3 linked regions of the Astyanax mexicanus genome follow. The protein of the gene in region 2 interacts with the protein of the main gene of each other region in a pairwise test. Links are inferred from orthologs where the notes say so. Each region holds a gene or a part of one and is shown on either strand. Other genes may lie near its edges. The genes, in order: trim2a, ubac1 and rnf216.

The links.
Region 1: the proteins of ubac1 (region 2) and trim2a interact in binary tests that used the Homo sapiens proteins (3 or more experiments, as listed by UniProt). The link is inferred for Astyanax mexicanus from reciprocal best matches to the Homo sapiens genes UBAC1 and TRIM2.
Region 3: the proteins of ubac1 (region 2) and rnf216 interact in binary tests that used the Homo sapiens proteins (3 or more experiments, as listed by UniProt). The link is inferred for Astyanax mexicanus from reciprocal best matches to the Homo sapiens genes UBAC1 and RNF216.

The regions. Positions count from the first base shown.
Region 1 is NC_064432.1:21,842,820-21,850,262, forward strand, and holds the start of trim2a (tripartite motif-containing protein 2), read right to left. Parts: upstream 3,311-7,443; 5' UTR 3,247-3,310; intron 1-3,246. UniProt on the Homo sapiens protein: UBE2D1-dependent E3 ubiquitin-protein ligase that mediates the ubiquitination of NEFL and of phosphorylated BCL2L11. Plays a neuroprotective function. May play a role in neuronal rapid ischemic tolerance.
Region 2 is NC_064429.1:25,238,725-25,246,030, forward strand, and holds the start of ubac1 (ubiquitin-associated domain-containing protein 1), read right to left. Parts: upstream 3,018-7,306; 5' UTR 2,702-3,017; coding exon 2,564-2,701; intron 426-2,563; coding exon 305-425; intron 202-304; coding exon 128-201; intron 1-127. Other genes in the region: entr1 (endosome-associated-trafficking regulator 1), read left to right, coding at 4,176-4,224, 5,646-5,752, 5,992-6,402, 7,085-7,158.
Region 3 is NC_064410.1:54,646,522-54,654,098, reverse strand, and holds the start of rnf216 (E3 ubiquitin-protein ligase RNF216), read left to right. Parts: upstream 1-4,494; 5' UTR 4,495-4,587; intron 4,588-7,051; 5' UTR 7,052-7,165; coding exon 7,166-7,232; intron 7,233-7,577.

The sequences.
Region 1 (7,443 bases), on a different chromosome or scaffold from region 2:
CGTTCAATTTTTGTGAGCAGTCTATTAAAATCCACCCACGTCCCTTATGCCCAAATCCAATTATTATTCCTTATCTCAAACCAATTCATACAAATGACAGCATTTCCTAACAGAATTCAGAAGATGTCAGTGGGTTTATATCACAGAGTGCACAGAGTTTTTCTGTATGTTTCCAGTTTAAGAACGACTTTTTGCTAATCAACTGAATGCTACCCTTTAACAGCGCTGGAGTTTTAACTAAAGCTCATCAGAGCCTGAAACACCAAACCAGTACAGACGAGAATCTGAGACTTTAATGAGTCTACTCCATTCAGGTCACACCCATCATCTATAATGGTCCCATTTTCATTTACATACTCTCAACCCTAAAACCCATCAGGATCCCCCCCTAACCTACCCAAACAAAATCAATTACCACATTCAGCGCCGCCCATCAACACGACAACCTGCTGACAAGTTAAACGGAGCAGTGAAGCATGGAGACTCGGAATGGGTAATGCACTGGGACCACCAACCCAGTCTTAAAGAGACAGTCTGGAGATAATTCAGAATTATTATTATTATCTGAATACTGAGCATTTTGAATATTAAAACTCTCAAAAGCGACTTAAGATTTCAACTGTTTAATTATTCTTCATATTCATAAGGCATTAGACTACACAGAAATGATAATTTTCAGGTTAATTACTTTGTATTTTCTTTCATGCATGCATCCACTATTCTACACTATAATGTAGGAATCTTTTAGCAGTAGCAGAGACAACAGGAAGAGAGGAGAAATGGCCAGTTAATTTCTATGCTCTATTTTCATTAAATGAAATGGAATGTTCAGCATCACTTATCACACTCTGTATTTAGTTTATTCCTACTTTACAAATTGACTGTTTTCTAACTGAAAGATATGAGCTGTAGAGGACAGACATAGTAATGTTAGCTGAGCGACCTTAGCCTTAGCATCTTCAAAACAGCCCTGCTGAGGTACATTTATGATTAGAATAGCACTGCTGAGGTACATTTATGTTTGGAATAGCACTGTTATGGTTTATGATTAGAATAGCACTACTGAATTACACTTATAATTAGAATAGAACTGCTGATGTACATTTATGAGTAAAATAGCACTGCAGAAGTAAACCTATGATTAGAGTAGCACTACTGAGGTACATTTAATGATTAGACTAGTTAAATGTGTGACAAGAACAGCACTGCTGAAATAAATTCACTATTAAAATATAATGTGCTTTGCTTTTTTCTGTTAGGATATTAACGCTAAGTGTTAAGTAAGTGCTTTTCCTTTGAAAAACAAGAAAAAATATATTTTTAGACTGTTTAATTTATTTAGTGGTAAAAAGTGGCAAGTTATTTTGGGCCAAACATGTATATTTTGGTGCCCCCCTACTTTAATGTTCATTATATGGGAACATTATAAGGGAACAGCCACTCATGTTGGGTCAGCTGATCTAGCGCTGCACTACTATAGGTCACGGTGTTCCCTAAGGACTAGAAATTTCGTCTGGAGACGCCGCCTAATTCATCAAATCAGCGACACGAGTAATCATCGTCTGATCAGGACAATTCCCCAGAGTGAGTCAGCGATTACCGTCTACAGGGCCGTCTCACTAAACCCTCTTTTTCATCTGGGCTGTCACTTCTGATACTTATACTCCGGGTCTGATTTATTAGATTACACTACACTCACACTGCCATGTGACTTCAGTAACAGCCAATCAAAAATTACATGTTAATGAGCTCATGAGTATTTAGCACAGAGACTAAACTGGCCACAAATTTCAGAATTGTATTTTTTAAATCTGGCTTTTGAATCCGTAATAAGAGGTTGGATGCAAATTAAAAAAGTAATATCATGCAACCCTGTTTACACCTGGTCATGTCATGTGACTAGTATCTAAATTGTGCATGCATTTATACTTGGCAGACAATGGTATGTCTAAATTTCGGCAGTTTATGATGAGTGTATGGTTGTCTTGTCTTATCTTGTCTTGTCACTGATTCAGGTGTGCTGTTATATTCCACACAGGTTCCAGTGTGAATGAGGAGTGTGAGAAGGGAGAATCCAGGCCAGTCAGTGCTATAAATACATCACAGGCCTAACAGAGGTTCAGAACACTGTAAATATACAGGCATACAGCCATGTCTACTCTGCTCCATCATCATAGTAGGATCATAGGATGCCATTTCTTTGCAGGATTAAACATTTAAGACTGTTAACAATTCAATGTGAAATGCTTCATTCTAGAAAAGCTCATAATTGATAGTTTAACACATTAACACAGCCAATAAATGGTGTTTGGAAATAACACAAGTTTTTGGAGCGGAAATAATATAACATTCAACAAATATGACCTCTGCCTTGCTCATGTGTTCCCTGTCACAACCCTTTAACCCTGTTACTAGCATAAAAATTAATCACACAAAACGCTGATTGATGGTAGCAGCACAGACATCCTCTATACCTGCTGGTGTGTTGTGATTCAATCAGAAATTAGAAGATGCAGTATTAAGTAAGACGTATTAAAAGCCATTAATATCTGATTCGACACGATATTTATGGCACAATATAACGTTTTAACATCACTTTATGTGCATATGCAATAGTTACATCGCTATATAAATCACTATCAAAACTGTCTATGCATCTTGGCATGTTCTCCTCCACCAGTCTTACACGCTGCTTTTGGATAACTTTATGCCATTTCTGGTGCAAAAATTCAAGCAGTTCAGTTTAGTTTGATGGCTTGTGATCATCCATCTTCCTCTTGATTATATTCCAGAGGTTTTTAATTTGGAAAAATTAAAGAAAAACATCCTCATTAAGTGCTCTCTTATTTTTTTTCCAGAGCTGTATATGAAATGATTGATTGTGGATTTGTCAATTACAGTGACTTAACCTTGACACAGTCCATAATCATATCATTATGATTTTAGTGCACTATACTGTACTATACTGACTTCATACAGAGCATTACATTAAAGTCTCACAGTCTATAGTACCAAACCGCACACTACCACTAAACAGTACATCAGAACAGTACCCCAGCTTTAGTACACACTCATCTATAGTACACTAGCTGCTCAGCCTACAGAGTGCAGTGTTATCGTGCAGTGTGTGGTTTGGGACGCAGCCTTGAAATAACTGCATATTTACCTATAAGACCAGCAGAAAGACCAGAATTTAAGACCGATTTAAGTAAAAATAAGACGATAAAGTCTAAATTCATCACTTACGGTTGTGCTGAGACGGCAGGCGCGTGCTGTGTGATCAGCTGGGGCATTAACAGCTCTGCTGCCCCCCCCGCCTCACCACTTGGTTTGCCCCACAGCACGCGCGGACAGGCTTACTCATGTTTTCCACGCCCTTCCTGCGCTCGGATTGGCTAATTCTGTCCTCCCACGTGCGCTCTGATTGGCTAACAGCCCGTAGTCTCAAGCTGTTTGCTATATAACCAATCAGAGCGCAGGAAAGCTTATTTTGGCGGAAAATAGGTGGGAAAAAAATGATTTCAAACCAAACCCGTTGATTACAGGCTTATACTTGCGGTAAAATTCATGAATTATTTAGATGAATTATGTAAATTATGAGCTAAACAAACACCCAACGGACGCGATAATATATGATATCAGCTTATAATATAAGACGTAGCCTAAATATCTGCCTAAAAAGAGTATTTCAGTTCAGATAAATTGTAATTTATTTAATAATTTAAAAAAAGGAATAATTGATTTCAAAAATACACTAAATTACATGTATGTATACTATGTTTAGCTAAAGCGCTTTATTAAAATAATCTCATATAAAAAGCTTTAAAACTAATTTTATGATAAAAGTCTGTTTGCCAGATATATCACATAACAAAATTATTAAAAATACAGGGAAGTACCATTATGTACATTTGTTTTGTCATAATTTTTTACAATTATGATTCATCACAGAATATTATTTTGACTAATACAATTCATATTTTAAAGCAATTGACTTTTATAAGTATTATACACTTCTGTCATTTTATTCACATTTAAATATCCAATAATAAAAGCTTTAGTCTTAATAAGTAAAAATGTGTAATTAATGACATAATATTTATGTGGTTCATCAAAAAAAATATTTTAAAATCGATTGACACCACAAGTCAACACAACCTGGATACTGTAGTTAATTCTAAGTTTACTTATGAACTTATATATCAGATCTCTGTACTAAGACCTGATCGGGCTCTCGGGACCCTGGGCGAATTGGTTGGGCTAAGAGGATGGGGTGACAGGGCAGAACTGCATGGTTACCAGGGCAACCCTTTAGAGGCCTTCCCTCTAACATTGAGGAGACGGTTGCCATGCCAACAGTCCATTATGAGTCAGCCCCATGAAAACCCTGGGACGGGGGAGTGGGGGGGGATCTTAAAGGGGTGATGGGGGACGGAGGAGCAGTGAAAGTTATTTGCATTCCTTTTAAATTTGGATTTCCTTTGATACCGACTGAAAACTAGCAGCGGGTGCAGCCTGTACCCCTCCTCACCCGCACCCACCTTCATTATCACTGAGGATAATCGCATGAAAGAGTCGCATTTCCAGGCTTTGAGAGGCTTTGCTGGGCTGGAAATGAAGCATTTACGGCACGCATGACGGCACTGAGGGTTATTTTGCCATTCTGTCTTTATTTATTCAGCTCTTTTTCTTTTGGTTGAGGTATTGTTCCATTTACACTGAATAAAAGTAAAAGAGACAAGGCCTTCCCTCTTGCTTGGCCCACACTACAGGATAAAGAGGGACAGATCAGTGTTTTTGGGACTGATCTCTTATCATTTTTCAGCTTGATCAGCCAATCACCAACACAGCTTGAGGGTGGGGCTAGATGCAACATTAAACTTGGCAATATGTCACAAAAGTGCTGATTATTAAACAGTAAGATTTAGATTTATCACTGCTGCTGCTGTACTTTTGGTGGTGGTTAAATGTGGACTGACCAATTTGATGTTCTGTATGGTCAGCATCATTTGTTTGGCTAGTTGTTTTGCTGTGCTGTAGCTATTTACTGTACAAGCTGTAATATACGCTCCTGAGAGGGGTATCCAGTTAGTGAGGGTTAAATGTCCTTTATGAACTGACCACTGTAAGGGTCAGCTTAATTAATTACATTTCAGCTTTAAATCATCTGATACCGATACAGAACCATAGGATTTTCTATCTCTACTACAGGGTTTGTTTTTTCTTGTAACCGATGAGATATTATTTACAGAGAAATGAAAAAAAGATTTCAGCCAACACATGCTTGGTAAAATTACACATTCTCACAATTACTGCAATCACAAATACAATTTATAAACACAATTTAAATCCACCCTATATACTGTATCTGTATGAAATAAAGGATCATGTCCTAACAGAGAATCAGCACACTACACTTCAGAATATTTCATATTCACGATACATGATCACAACAGCCTAACTAGGGTTATATATTGTCAAGAACTATATATACAATACTATATTGAGATATTTTTGAAATATTGTGATATTAATGGCAAGGCCATTTATTGTGATTGTTACACCCTCTATGGCACAAATGAAATATTTTGGAAAAAAAATGGTATTAATATATCAATGACAAAATCCCCCACAGCAACACTGATCATTTTAATGATGCAGTGGAACTGGATACATTTTTTATTTAAAAAAAATTAAAACACTATTTTATTAAGTAAATGAAAACAACCCCAAAATATTTCTTTACATATTCATGCATATCTATAGTATATTAGATATTTATATTATAGATATTATAGATATTATATAATATTAAAATTAAATTTATTTGGTCAATTGCTGGCACCGTGTCCCATGTGGGTTTGGCTCTAAAAATTATTGTTTCACCCCCAGGTGAAATGTCAAACCCACTTCTACCCCACCTCTTTCAGTGAACGGAGACTTATCTTGATGTTATAATAACATATACTGTAAAAACGAATTATTTTGTTAAAAATAATAAAATAAAAAAATAGATTGTTAAAGGAACAAAGCCCGGTCAGTGTGGACCGGACATCAGCAGCACACAACAACCCCACCCATCTCCAACTACCATCATTCATCCTGTACTGGTTCTGAGTGCAGGATAGTGCAGGCTGGCTAATGCTGGTAAGTGCTGCTCCAGCTGCTTATGTTTATTGATCCATAATGTCTGGATCTGGATGCCACTTTGTCCAAGCAGCTCATTCATCCTGTAGCAGGAAGCCCAGTCCGCCATCAGAGGTTCATAGAGAATGCATCACATACTGATTATACTGATCACCACTAGTGCTGTTTAATCTAATCACTGAGGTAGATGACATTACAGTACTTACAGATTCTTTTTATTTTGGAAAACATATTATTTACTTGGTTATTAGAATCAGAATCAGAATTAGAATCTTTATTCGCCTAGTACAAAAGGCACAAGGATTATTTCTTGGTGCAGGTATCAACATTTAGATTGAATGTATTAATAGATGGATAAAACATCTAAACTGTATATAAGCACAAGATAGACTAAGAAACATGAATTAGAGTACACATGTAAAAGTCCAATAGGATATATGCAATGTAGGTGTTACAAGCAAGCAACAAAACAAAAATACAAAATTACCAAGGGTAAGTTCAATTTAAATATGCAAAAGTGTATAGTATATGGTAAAGACAGTAGATTATACATTAGTTTATACCGATTATATGATATAGTGTAATATAGTATAAAATGGTATAATAGAGTGCAGGTGCAGCACATACAAATAGTTAAAAGGTTCAAAGTTAAAATAAAGAAATGTAGACGTGTCCTTGGTTATTATTGCATTATTTTGAATGCTTATGCTTGTATTGAATTACACTCCCAAAGGACAAAGTACACTTCATACAATTTATTCTATTTTATTCATATTTATTTAGGTGTTAATTTTAGGTATTATTTTTCTTATCCTGTTTGAAGATTGAGTTAAAAACTCAGGTTCTACCTTCAGTGCTATGTAGAACCTACTTACCAGCGTTACCTTGTACAAATCCAATTGCTCAAACCACTTCAGGAGATGGTCTGAGACACATTTATAACAGAAACATGATTTAGACTGTTGTAATGGGTTAAATACAGATACACATCTATTTAATGAGGCTGTTCTTTATAACCAGTAACATAATTAACAGGCTAGTTGGTGTGTAGACATGTTGATCTTACCCCATCATAAGATCTGTAGGTTCTGGTGGTGAGAATTGATTGAAGAGACTCCTCTCAGACTTTTCTTTTCAGGGTTTCATCACTAATAGATCTGAAAAACATAGTTACTGTTATTACAGGAGATCTACACGACACTGAAGACCCCACAGAGGATGTAGTAAATGTGGGGGGGTCGGTGTGTGTTGTGCTGGTATAAGTGGATCAGATACAGCTGCTACATCTTGTAGATG
Region 2 (7,306 bases):
CAAAACAAAACAAGCTAAATAATGTATCTGTTTTAATCAGTGTTTGCAACATTCAACACTTGATGTACAGATTCACTGCACAATTAAGTGTGGGTCATTTAAGAGAGGGGTCATCACAGTGCATTACCTTCTCTTCAGCAGAAATGTCAGCCATTGGTGGGCGAGGTGGCTGTGGCCTCTTCTTTACCAATAACAAGCAATCTGGAGAAAAAAAATGTGAATCTTATATATGGAAACAGTTCCACATAGGAAGGAAACAATGCCAGAATTATTGTTAACATCTCAAAGTAAAACCGTGCAATACCTTTATCTTTAAGGTTTTCATCTGCAACCGTTTTGGCTTCTGTGAGAACCCTCTCTGTAGCTGCATGAATAAGTTTATGGTGTGTAAGCGTCTTAGGATCCTCTAAACTCCCATGGGCACACTGTCAATTAAGAAACATAGTTTAGAGTACAATAACTGCCATTCACACCTGCATATACAAGTCAATATCTTCTTATAGTGGTGCAGGGCCTGATAATATTAAAAAAAAAAAAAAAATTAAAAGCATAATTCATGCCTATTGATGTGTACTTGCCAACTGATTAAACATGTCATTCATGAGATGAGCTTCAATAATCTTGGAAAAAAACTTTGGAATTGGATTTTGTCTTACCAGTTCAATTTGTACATTTATCATTAATTACTACATTTAATATGATATGCAGAAAAGCTGAATGATTTTTAGCTGAATGACTGTACATATACAGCACTTCAAAAGGATGAGTTTCTTTGATTTTACCAAATTGAAAACCTCTGGAATATAATCAAAAGGAAGATGGATGATTACAAGCCATCAAATCAAACTGAAGTGCTTGAATTTTTGAATCAGGAGTGGCATAACGGTATCCAAAACAGTGTGTAAGACAGGTGGAGGAGAACATGCCAAGACACAAAACTGTGAATAAAAACCAGGGCTACTAATATTGATTTCTGAACTTGACTTAAACCTTAATGAATATGAGCTTGTTTTCTTTGCATTATTTGAGGTCTGAACGCTCTGCATCTTTTTTGTTATTTCAGCCATTTCTTATTTTGCAAATAAATGCCCTAAATGACAATATTTTTATTTGGGAGAAATGTTGTCCATAGTTTACAGAATAAAACAACAATGTTTATTTTACTCAAACATATACCTATACATAGCAAAATCAGAGAAACTGATTCAGAAATTGAAGTGGTCTCTTATTTTTTTCAGAGCTGTATATATATATATATATATATATATATATATATATATATATATATATATATATATATATATATATATAAAAAATTCATTTTGCACCACCTGCTAGAACCATTGCAGTTAGCTAACTGTAGACACCAACAGTCATCAAGTTATAAGTATCATGAGTATCAAATTCTTAGTACAGCTGTAAAAATCTGGATGTCACATGGTTGTGGAGCCCACCTTATGGTGGCTGTGAGCAGCAGCATACTCAAAACTGAGCACTAAGGACAGGTTTAGGGTCGTTTTAGCTAGAGTCGTTTCAGCAGCAAAGAGATAGATAGCTAGGTTACAAGCTGCAGCTAGTAAATACTGAAGCCTGGAGAGTGTAGCCATGGGGATAAAATGCACTGTAGTTAGCTAAGCTAGCTAGTTTAGCTAACCAGCAAACCCACAGCTCCAGCTATAGCTAGGTGACAGCCCGAGTTGCTGAATTATAAATAGCTCTGTCTACTCGCCTGCTGGTTTCTAAAAATACTTGGTAATGGCAGTGACGATCCCACAGGGCCCGGGTAAAAGCCCTGGGTAAGCAGCTGAGGATATTCAGCAACGCAAAAAGCCTTAGAAATAAGAAAAATAATGAGATATGGCCTAATCTGACTAATAACTACCTCTACGAATCTAGCTCATCAATTAATTAACTAGCTATAAATGTATACACAGGGCTTATTCCAAGTTTCCACGATTTACTGTACTGTACTGTAACACTGATTATGCTGGTACATTCTTACACATGTTTTGGGAGTGCAGTGTGATTTCTAAATTCTGGGACTACATTTTACATTTTCTGATATGCTTAAAATTCATGTTACACAAAAAAAAACATGTCTTTTTTATTAAGTGATGATAGTTCTTTTACATTTACACTATTTCAAAAGAGACTAATCTTTGCTGTCTTAACAGCAGCTAAATATATATTTTAATAATATTTAATTTGTTTAAAATAATGGCTGTTATTCTATTATGACATTGTCTCTCTTATACAGACTACTGCAATTATGAAAATAAAGATAAAGCAGCTACACTTGTGGGGTGGGATACCATTAGATCAACCTTTTAGGACTTGCTTTTATCTCATGAGGCAATATTAGACTCTCACCTTGTCACTTTTTTCCTACTTATTGACAGTGTGACAGTGACTATCTCTTTATCTCCTTTATCTCTTTTTTAAGCCTAATTGTAAATTATATAGTATATATACTATATAACAAAATGATCACGAGCGAAATAATAGAAAAGTGAGGGAATAGATACACAGCTATACTCCAGCTGCAGCTGTAACTACTACGTACATGCTTCAGACATTTCTCCTTCAGCTTCTCTATGGTGGTATCTTCGGTCACTTCCTCCAGCCACTCGGCGCCCTCCATGGTGCAGATGTGGATCTTCAGGACTTTACCTGCGAATATCTTCTCCTCCTGCACGAACATCGCCGCGATCAGGCCGAAGCCCTGCAGTGTAGATGTGCAGAAATGTGGTGGTGGTGATGGTGTACTCTGAGCTCCGGCTGCTGCCCCAGGACTCCTTATCCAGCCACTGTAGGTTAACTAACTGGACAAGCTCCAGTTATTAACGTTGCTCCGTCATTTCCAGCCCCATAGCTCGTCTCGAGTTCACCCCTCTAACCCGAGTTTAACAGATATTCCAGTAGAGCATGGATTCTCAGTAAATAGCTGGATATATTCACCCTGTTTTTGTTGACACCTGTGTTGCAGGCGACAACTGTACACGGAAGAGCAGGACGGCGCTACTACGCACGCGCGGGTTCTCCCTGCACGCTGATTGGCCGATCCGTTTATTTTGTCACAGCCTGTAATATAACGGAATATTATTATTATTACTAATAATGAATTTTTTTACGTGTGTTTAGGAAAATAATTTAATTCTTTGTTTGTCAATATACTTTTTTCTTTATTTATTCATAATAACTGATGCTATATGTGTTTTAGAGTCAAGCAAGTGTTACATGTATTGTATTAATCTACACTGCCTGACCAAAAAAAAAAAAAACAACCTGTATTTAACTAAGCAAATGATCTGGGGTTGCTGCAGTTGGTCAGGTCTAAATTCAGCGAGAGTATGTGCTGTAAGAACGAGGTCAGCTGACTACCTAAATGTACTGAATATAGACCAGCTGGTTATTCTATCAATTGAATTTTTCTTCTCTGATGGCACGGGCTGGCATATTCTAAGATGGCAATCCCAGGATTAATCGGGATGGAATTGTAAAAGAGTGGTTCAGGGAGCATGTGTCATCATATCACTCATGGATTCTCCAACATTTGTTAAATGATAAAATTATTTTGCTCAAGTGCTCAGTATGAATCTATTAATTTTGGACTCACTCGGGAGCTCCCCCTGGTGTTCAAACAAAGTGGGTATTTTATTCTGTAAAAATCATCTGATAGAATTTGGAATAACAAAGAGCGACATCTCCCATAGCAACAAATTCATTATTTTTTCTAAAACTGGTACAGAGGCAACATTTTTTTATTTTTTCAAAAATAAAGTAAAAATAAAGTTGCTTCCTTATATTAGTTTGTTAGACACGTTTGTGACAAATTCATCCCTGTAGATGCCAAACCATTAGAGGGCGGTATAGCTCCCTCTTTTTACACAGGAACCCGCTTTTAAACTGAGGGAAGAAGTCCAGCACTCGACAGGAGAAGTATTTACAGTCAGCTGGAGTTTATTTAGATGAGTTTTAATTTAGACTCCAGTCTGGGGGTGGTTTTAGAGCCAGAGGCAGCTAGTTAGCTGCGTAGCTCCATATCGCTTGATTAGTTTTAGTTGACAGTTCAGTGTTTTTACAGCTGGGCGGGGAGGGAAGACCCCCCTGCTGCAGGGTGAAGAGGGACTCAGTCTGTCTGACAGTGGAAGATCAGGAGAAACTACTCATCAGAAATGTCCAAACACAAAGCATCCAAGAAAATGCTCATTATTGAGGATGATGGTGAGTATTATATCTCCCTGTTCCGAACAGATCATACCTGAACCAGCTGATTAGCCTCAGTTAGCTATTAACTAGCCCTCTACAGGAAAAGCTGGCTAGATAAAAAGACAACTGTTGCTCCTGGTATTTATGGAATGTATTGTCTTACAATGCTTGAGAACAAATGCTTTTTTTGCACGGTCAAAACTGATGGCTGAATGATCCTACATGGCAAATTATTTTAAGCCTAATTATCTATATCACCCCTTTTAATTAAAATCAATAGCTAGTATTTATGAGTTAAAAGGGGGCAAAATATTCTAAATATCAGGCCGCTGGCATAACCATACCTGCATCTAATACAGCTCTGCAAAAATTTAAGAGACCACTTCAGTTTCTCTGATTTTACTATTTGTTTACTATTTGTTGGAGTAAAATGAGCATTGTTGTTTTGTTCAATAAACTACGGTCAACATTTCTCCCAAAAACAAACGACAATATTGTCATTTAGAGCATTTATTTGCAGAAAATGAAATAACAAAAAAGATGCTAATAAAACAAGTTCATATTCATAATGTTTTAGAAGTCCAGAAATCAATATTTGGTGGAAAAACTCTAGTTTTCATTCATTTTGGCATGTTCTCCTCCACCAGTCTTACACAATGCTTTTGGAGAACTTCAGTTTGGTTTGATGGCTTGTGATCATCCATCTTCCTCTTGATTATATTCCAGAGGTTTTCAATTTGGTAAAATCAAAGAAACTCATTATTTTTAAATGGTCACTAATTTTCCTAGAGATGTATATTCATTCTAAAAAACAGTAAACAGTGATCCGGTATGCTTGCTGGATGTAATAAGTCTGTCACAATAATTATGTTATTAATTATGTCGACTTACCATATTATACAATGTTGATATTATGGAAGCTCATTCCCGCCACCTAAAATAAGTTATTTTGATATGTTGTGTTATTATTTTGAGATACTAAGTGAGCAAAATAATCAGTACCTCAGAATAAACACTTAGTATCTCAAAATAAACATTTAGTATCTCAATATAACCACTTAGTATCTCAAAATAACCACTTAATATCTCAAAATTATCAGTTGGTATCTCAAAATAATCACTTAGTACCTCAGAATAAACACTTAGTATCACAAAAAAAACATATAGTTTCTCAATATAATCACTTAGTATCTCAAAATAAACTCAGTACCTCAAAATAACCACTTTGTATCTTAAAATAACCCTTTAGTATCTAAAAAGAACCATTTAGTACTAATATTATTTATCACAGTTAATTTAAAACAATTTACAAAAACAGTGAAATTACAATGTAGTGGTTCAGTGGTTTGGTCTTCTTAGTCTTTTATATGTAAATATATGTATTTATTTTATTTTTATGAGATGTGGTTGTGATTTAGTGTTTTTTGTGCTTTAAGATCCTGTGGATGAGCCAAAAGAGGGTGGAGATGAACTCAACCCTTTCTCTTTTAAAGAATTTATCCGGAGCAAAAACTATCCATACAGCAGCAGCGATGGTTTTGAGGTGAAGTACAATAAGAATGGCTTTGGCCATTGCTGTCTTTCCTATTACAGAAAAATAGATTTTTTTTTGTTTTATTATACTACTTCCATTCAAAGTTAAGAATATTTTGCTGCTTTTATTATTGTCTCTATTTAGTTTTAATTGGACAGCAACTAAATGCAAGGGATGCATTCAAGTAGTTTGTGTTGTTGTTTACAGTCTGTCTGCTGATTTTTTTTTAATGTTATTAATATCTGCAGAAAGCACATGGTGGTGCCTGTCATGTGGAGGACGAATATAACTACCCCAGAGGATTCGACCACAGTCACAAGGGTCAGTTTTTTAATGATCCCTCGCTGCTTGATCAGTCCTTTGACACTGAACCTGACGATGAATGGACTGAAAGTTACCAGCCCTCTGCTGTGGAAGAGGCACATGAGTTAGCACTGTGTGGAAAGCACGGTGCTTACATGGATCACTCACTACTGTCCAGTGAAGACAAGGACGACACTGCAAACGAGTGGGAAGTAGAGGAGGGCTTCTCGCCAAAGACTCATGTCCACAGGAGAAGCACTGGCAGCTATGAAGGAGATGAGGAGACGTCGGTCATCGATATATCCTACCATACTAAGATAAGCAGTACGGAGAACAGGGTCAGGGACCAGCAGAAGGTACTGAGATCCTGTGTTGCTTTATTTGTTTGGGTTTTTCATTAATGGATGCTCATCTGATTATTCAAGTAAACAGCATACTCTGATTTCTTAGATCAGAGTAATGTATAAATCTGATAAAGGGCAGGATTTTAGCTCAGAAACTGTATTTCTCAATTCATGTATACTCTTAACTGGAGTATTCTCAGATTTGTCAGTATGTGCATGTGTGAAAACAGACCCTGGTACCACGAACAATGTTTAACAAAGCACCCACAAGATGCTGACAAAACACTTGTGGAGCACTGCTGAAACTAAAGGATTTATCTTCAACCTGGTGTATTTTCTTTTTGAATCTCGATGTTTTTTTTTTTTTTAAGAGTTGCAACCTGAGGTTTGGGATTTACATGATGTTTACACATGATGTTACTTTATTCTGTGAGTTTTTTTGGCTGCTTACAAAGCAAAAATCTTATTACTCATCCAACTGATAATAAACACCAATCATTTAATATTGTGAATAAATATCAACACTGTGTTGCAAAACAAAATATTTTGATATTACACCACAAGTAAACGCTTTAATCGTATTACTGATAAACTGATGTTATGCGGTTCTGCATCAGATTATGAGATGTAAACATGTAAACACATGTATACTGTATTTAACACATGAGAAGTCATACATTTCTGTCTTTTCCAGCTAAGAGAAGAAAATTCCCTTCTTAGGAAGCAAATCAGAGAGCTCATCAAAAAGTCAGAGACAGACTCCTCAAAGTAAGAGTGAATACTAAATTTACTTCTGTTATTCTTTTTATAACCTATATTAGGTTTAGATTTCTTGGGGTCCGTTTTGCCACAGTCATCAAAGAACTTTGTATCTCTTTTTTTCCTTTTTTGAGCTGATTTGATTTCTTTTTCATTT
Region 3 (7,577 bases), on a different chromosome or scaffold from region 2:
TAAAGGAGTAATCAGTAATCGGATTACTTTTTCAAAGTAACTATACCATCACTGGAAGGCACCTATATGGAACCACATCATAACATTTAATTCACTGAAAGAGCAAAAGATTACTTATGGTTGGGACACATTATTAATGAGGAGCATCTAACCAGGTACATCACCATGTTATATTCACCCTACCGCATTGTTTCTACTGGAAAGGGCACCTTTAGGATACTGTCTAGTGAGGGTGGCATGGAAGACGCCTCAAAACGGAAACCTTTTCAAACCTTTTCTACTGAAAAGGCAAACAATCACCCATAGATGGGACATATTATCATTGTGGAGCATCTAACCAGGCTAAGATCACCCATAGTTGGGACATGTTATCAATGTGGAGCTTCTATCAAGGCACATCACCATGTTTTTATTTACCCTACTGCATTGTTTCTACTGGAAAGGGCACTTTTGGGAGACTGTCTAGTAGGGGTGGCATGGAAGACGCCTCAAAACTAAAACCTTTTCAAATAAAATGGCAAAAGATCACCCATAAATGGGACATATTACCATTGTGGAGCTTCTATCAAGGTACATCACCATGTTTATATTCACTCTACCTCATTGTTTGCACTGGAAAGGGCACCTTTGGGAGACTGTCTAGTAGGGGTAGCGTGGAAGACTCCTCAAAACTGAAACCTTTTCTACTGAAAGGGCAAAAGATCACCCATAAATGGGACACATTATCAATATGGAGCACCTAACCAGGCATATAACCATGGTTTTATTCACCCTTCCACATTATTTGTACTGGAAACGGCACCTTCAGAATACTGTCTAGTAGGGGTGGCATGGGAGACGCTTCTAAAATGGAAACGTTTTTTACTGAAAGGGCAAAAGATCATCTATAGATGGGGCATACCTGTATTATCAATGTGGAGCACCTAACCAGGCAAAAGATCACCCATAGATGGGGCATATTATCATTGTAGAACACATAACCAGGCACATTATCATGTGTTTATTCATCCTACCACATTGTTTCTACTGGAAAGGGCACCTTTGGGACACTGTCTAGTCAAGGAGGCATGGGAGATGCTTCAAAACGGAAACCTTTTCTACTGAAAGGGCAAACAATCACCCATAGATGGGACATATTATCATTGTGGAGCATCTAACCAGGCTAAGATCACCCATAGATGGGACATGTTATCAATGTGGAGCTCCTATTAAGGCACATTACCATGTTTATATTCACCCTACCTGGAAAGGGCACTTTTGGGAGACTGTCTAGTAGGGGAGGCATGGAAACATTTTCTACTGAAAGGGCAAAAGATCACCCATAGATGGGACACAATATCAATTTTCTTCTAAAAAAAGATCACCTAGGTAGGCACTCAAACTCTTTTTTTGCTCACAGGAGCTATTAGGACACTTTTTTATATGTGATACAGACTGTTTTAAAGATGTGGAGATGTGGAGACAGCATTCTTTCCTTCACGTTAAAGACATTTACTGAACATGCTGTGTGCAAATGTGGAAAGAAATGTTAAAAACCCAGGCTTTACAATGTTTCTCTGGGATTGTTTTATTATTATCAGGCAGCACTTTATAAAATATGGCCAAATCAGACAATGATAATAGGCATAACTGAAAACTTAAATACAGGAGATACATAGCCTCATATGTTTATGTGCCCCCTCTCCCAGTGACCCAGTGATGGTACAAGAAAACTGTAAATTGTTGTCATTGATGGTGCAAAGTTTTAAAACTTTATTCGAGAGCCACCCCTTTTCAGAATATACAGGCCCTAGGTTGTGCAGCACATGCCCATTTTATTTTGTTCACCCCTGAACCCTTCTGGATGTTCTTAGAACATTTTAATTTAACGTTTTTGAACATTCTGGTAATGCTGCTGCAGTATCACTTGTATCAATGTTTTTTCTTTAGTAATAATGTACTAATCATTGTGATGTTTTCAGAACGTTCCTGGAACATTATTTCTGTAACATTACAGGGTAACCTTCCTGAAACCTTTTCAAAACATTGCTAAATGTTCTTATAATGTTCTCTGTTTGTTGGTCTAATAGAATAATGAAAAATGGTCCTATTGTAATGTGTTGTATTGTTTTTATATTTGCAGATACATGATTTATTTACTTATTTATTCATGCATTACATTTCACTCATACAGTATTTTGGAAAAGTTTCAGTGTTTGATTTGATATGTTTCCCTGAAGTTGACTGTCCCCTATGTTTGAGTCTACTGGAATTTATAGGCTCCTGGCATTCGGCCCCACTGGCCCAGCCAGTAATCTATCTTTGATTGTGTTTATGACGCCACAATCAGAAAGAAAGCATTCAAACTCTCACTTTATCTTCCAGCATTAGGCTAATAACTACACTGGCTTTAAGATCAAAACACTGGCAGCTTGATCTGCAGGCTGTGTTCCCACCTCAAACCCACAGTAATATTAAATGAGCTATTTTAGCTTTTATGGTTAGATGCAGTCCTTTGGGAACAGAAATAAATCAAGGCACCCGTCTGACTGGGGGCAAAGTGCTGTTATTCAGTTCAAAACAAAATGCCTTCATCCAGAAAATCAACACAGAGAAATAGGTGGCTGGAGAAACAACGCTGTTATCATTGATTAGATACTGACAAATTAACCTAATGCAGGGTGGTGAACATTTCTAAGAATGAGATTTAGGTGGACCCACTCTGATATAGCATGGCTTACATTTTATGGCATTTAGCTGTTCCTCTTAGCTATTCTTATTTAGAGTTATTCAAGATTACTCATATTTTATGGATGTTATTTTCTGAGTATTTTATTTTAGGCCAGTGTAATATAAGGAGTCTAGACTCTTATTGGAGTCTAGACCCCTAAATGGCGTGGAACCATGTCCGCTTCTGTTCACCACCGCTCTGCAGCTCCCTTTGTTGATGACATATGATGTGACGTTTTGACGGTTCCACTAGAACCAGAGTTCTTTTGGTGGAAAAGCACTATGAACGGTTGTAGTGGGTTTTGGGGTAATAGAGATTTATTTCTTTTATATATATACAGGGGTTGGACAATGAAACTAAAACACCTGTCATTTTAAAGTTTCATGGCTAAATTGGAGCAGCCTGGTGGCCAATCTTCATTGATTGCACATTGCACCAGTAAGAGCAGAGTGTGAAGGTTCAATTAGCAGGGTAAGAGCACAGTTTTGCTCAAAATATTGCAATGCACACAACATTATGGGTGACATACCAGAGTTCAAAAGAGAACAAATTGTTGGTGCACGTCTTGCTGGCGCATCTGTGACCAAGACAGCAAGTCTTTGTGATGTATCAAGAGCCACGGTATCCAGGGTAATGTGAGCATACCACCAAGAAGGCCCAACCACATCCAACAGGATTAACTGTGGACGCAAGAGGGAGCTGTCTGAAAGGGATGTTCGGGTGCTAACCCTGACTGTACCTAAAAAACATAAAACCACGGCTGCCCAAATCACAGCAGAATTCAATGTGCACCTCAACTCTCCTGTTTCCACCAGAACTGTCTGTCGGGACAATAAATTATTGTGGTCTAAAACCAGGTGTTTCAGTTTCATTGTCCAACCCCTGTATATATATATATATATATATATATATATATATATATATATATATATATATATATATATATATATATATATATATATATTCTTTTTTTTTTTTCTATATGTACACTATTACACTGACAAGCCAAAAAATCATGTTCATGAATTGTTACCTCAGAGGATGTATGTCTTGGGAATACCCGAACCTTAAGTAAAGTTGTGAGGTGTTATCATGTGAGTGAGGTTGAAGTGAGGGGGGTTATGGAAGTGGAAATGAGGCCTGATAGTGGGTGTCATTCCTGAAGTTGTGTGAGTATTTAACATTCCTTGATCCAGAAGTGTCTCATGTCCACATCATAGAATGTATTAACACCCACAGTATATACAAATAGAAAAATAATTAATTCTGTCTCTAATGCATTAAAGCAACATCTCTGATTTATTTGTGAACATCCATTTTACATTGATTTAGCATAATGCTTTTCTATATATGTATTGTTTGTATTACACTTTACTATGTGTATATGTATATCTTGTATATCTATATCTTGTTTGTATTTTGTTCTTATAGCTAGTGTAAAAAGAGACATTTAAATAATAAAAAGGATTATTATTTTACTATAATAATTATTAATTTTATTGTGAGTGTAGTAGATTCAGAGTCCCAAACATTAAAAACCTTTCAATGAATGTAGCTTGATTTAAATAAAATTGATTTTTTTATCCACATTGATTTTATGTTGATTTAACATTGATGAAATGTTGGGGTTTTATATGTATTGTTTGTAATCTTGTTTGTTTTCTGTTCTTATCGGTTGTACAGTGTACATGCCAATAAAAGAACGTTTATCCAATGTTAGTTGAGGTACTCATTTCAAATATTAAAAAACAAACTACATTTCCCATCATCCTGTGCTGCACGCTTGTCCCCGTGACGTAGCCAGGCTTGTTTTGGCCGTTTGTTTCGATATCCGGCTCTGAAAGCTTGTCGATGTGTTGGTGGATTTAAACGGAGAGGTAGGTTTACCGCTTTAAACAATCCCGTCACGATGAAATACGATCATTTACCATCTTTATTAACCGGTGCTGGGTGAGGAAATGTGAGTCTGAGCGGCTAAATCTGACCATTCTTTAATCCTGTAGCTACTTACCCAGACTAGTAGGCTATTATCTAACGTGCTGAGCTAGCCTGCCAGACCACTCTGTGCCAACTCGCCTCTTTAGCCTGTTAGCTGCCTGTGGAGCTGTGTTGGAGCTTTACGCTGTGCTCCTGGACTCTGTGGAGGTTTTAAATGTAAAATATATGGTTTATATATTTAGCTGTACTCTCTGTCACACTCACTCTGTGTCCACTAACTTCAGTCTGTCGTTGTTTACACTGTTTACTCGTTGCTAGCTTCACTACAGGGCGACAACTGGACCAGAAATGAAAGTCAGTTAAGGGGTTTAACATCCATATAGCCGTGGAAACTTCTTTTAGACTAGTTTAAGACTGTTTAAGAGGAATTTTAGGTCATTTTAATGTATTGTAAGCTAGCTGATAACTTCATTAACACATAAGCTAACACTAGGACCACGTTTTTTTGTAGTGAATCAACATGTCAGCACCTAAAAAAACTCCCAGTCGATTTAATTTAGTTAAATGGTGAAGTAGTTACACTGCCTGTCCGAATAAAAAGTCACCACCTGGATTTATCTTGCTGCAGTTGGTCTGCAGGTCTAGGTTCGGCAAAAGCATGTGTTGTCAGCTAACTACTTTAATATACTGAATATAGACCAGGTTATTCCATCAATGGATTTTTTTTTTATAAATTCCAAAATAAGACAATGTCAGGATTCATGGGGCTGGATTTGTGAAAGACTGGTTCAGGGAGCATGATATCATCATTTTCACACATGGATTAAGAGAGTTCACCACTGAGTCCAGATCTTAACCTCATTGAGAATATTTAAGATGTGCTGGATGGAGAAGAGCTGCTTTGTGCAGTGGTCAGACTCTACCATCATCAATGCTGCTGCAAGATCTTTGTGAAAAATTAATCCAGCAACACTGGATTAAAATAAATATTGTGATATTGCAGAAGCTTATCGAGACAATGCCCCAGCGAATGTGTGCTGCAGTCAAAGCTAAAGGCGGTCCAACCAAATATTAGAATGTCTGACCTTTTATTTGGTGGCAAAGTAAAGTTCTTTACAGCACTGTTTTCATCATTTTAACTCCAGAACTCCAGTTCCTAATCCAGTTCCAGACACATACTGAACATCCTGAGAGCATCACTACAGGACAGTGTGTGAATCTGTCTTAATTCATGATTTGACCTAATTTACAGAATGTACCCTAGGTGTGCTGGAAAAAAATCTGGAAATAAAAGCATCTCCTTATAAAAGTCTAAACTTTTGGATTCTACAGATCTGTTTCAACCAGTTTAACAATTTAAACACTTTAATTGACCTAAATGTTTTACATTGTGTGTGTGTATATATAATATATATATATATATGACCTGAATACAGGTTATGTTCTATCATGATTTAAACTTTAAAATATTTACTTTTCCTGCGTGTTCCCACAGTAAGAAACAAACAAGAATGAGCTGCTTATTTATTTTTGAATTTGGCATTAATATTCTCTTATGGGTTAAAGAAGCACTAAACCATAAACCATATTGTTTTATCAATAGCTGAAATGTGTCCTTTAAAATAATAAAACATACCAGTCCTGCTTAACATTTTTATAACATTTCCTAACCTTAAAAAAAGCTTTTATCGTGGTCATTTCCAAATTATCATTTTGAAAATAATATAAATTTAAAACAATATATTGAATTGAAAGTACTGTATTGCAGTTGTCCCTACAAATCTTCAGTGAAATGAAATGTAAAAGAAAAAACTCTTCTAAACAGATTGCTTGATTAGGAGCTTGGACATTGGCTAGAAACTTGGTTTAGGTCAATTAATTCAACATATGCTGATTTAGAAAACATCTTACTGGTCATATAATACTACTAATAAATTGCTAACAACTATAAACAACATACTTTAAATTAATTGACAGTTAAGTATTATCTGTGCTATTAAAAGCTATTAGAATTATCAAATGTTTGTTCTTAACTCTACAGTCTGTTGTATTATCTCCCTTTTAACCGGTTTTTCAATGGTAAAAGGTTTCATTACTCTTTCCTTTCCCTCCTTCAAAAAGTCTTTCCTGGGCACATTTCTTGGGGCGGTTTCCCCAGACGATGATTAATCCTAATCTTGTACTTCACAGCATTTTAAATGGAGATTTTCCATTGATAGGACAGTATAGTTTAAGACTGGGCTTTATTCCTGTCTGGAAATCTGACCCTGATTGTTTCATCAGATTTTCAGACCATGCTTACCTAATTACGGTCTCTTTCAGTTGAAGTGTTTTAACTGTTGTTTTCCAGAATAAACAGCAGTAGATATCACTTGTGCTTACTAACTCTATCTCCTCCCGCAGGGTGATGCCTCTCTGATATCAGGGCGCTGTGTGTGTGCATGAGTGTTTGTGTGCAAGAGAGAGAGAGAAGGAGGGGAGGAGGAAGACTCAGGGAGTCTGGTTGGCTGTGTTACCATGGCTGACGGAACTGGTGATGAAGATGTCATTCATCTGGCCAGTTTTAACACACATCGCAGCCAAGGTTAGTGTCGTTTCTTTGCTTTGCAGTTAGTGTTTTCATGTTTTTTAGTGTATGTAGCCCCTTTCACACATGTACCTAGAGCTCTAAAAGTTGTTCGGAGGAGCTGTACGTATGAATACAAATTTATGAATCAGTTATAATAGACTGTATCCTCCCAGCCCTTTCTAGTGTAAGGTCTGGGTAATGTTGAGAAATCCCTTGTGTAAATAAAACAGGTAATTAGCAGCAGAAATTGTATATTGACATGGTTTATATTTGCCAAAAAAGCAAACATAAACCAATTTCACATATGTATTATCTGATAATAAATAGGTCTGTTAATTATTTCCATGCTACATGTTTCAT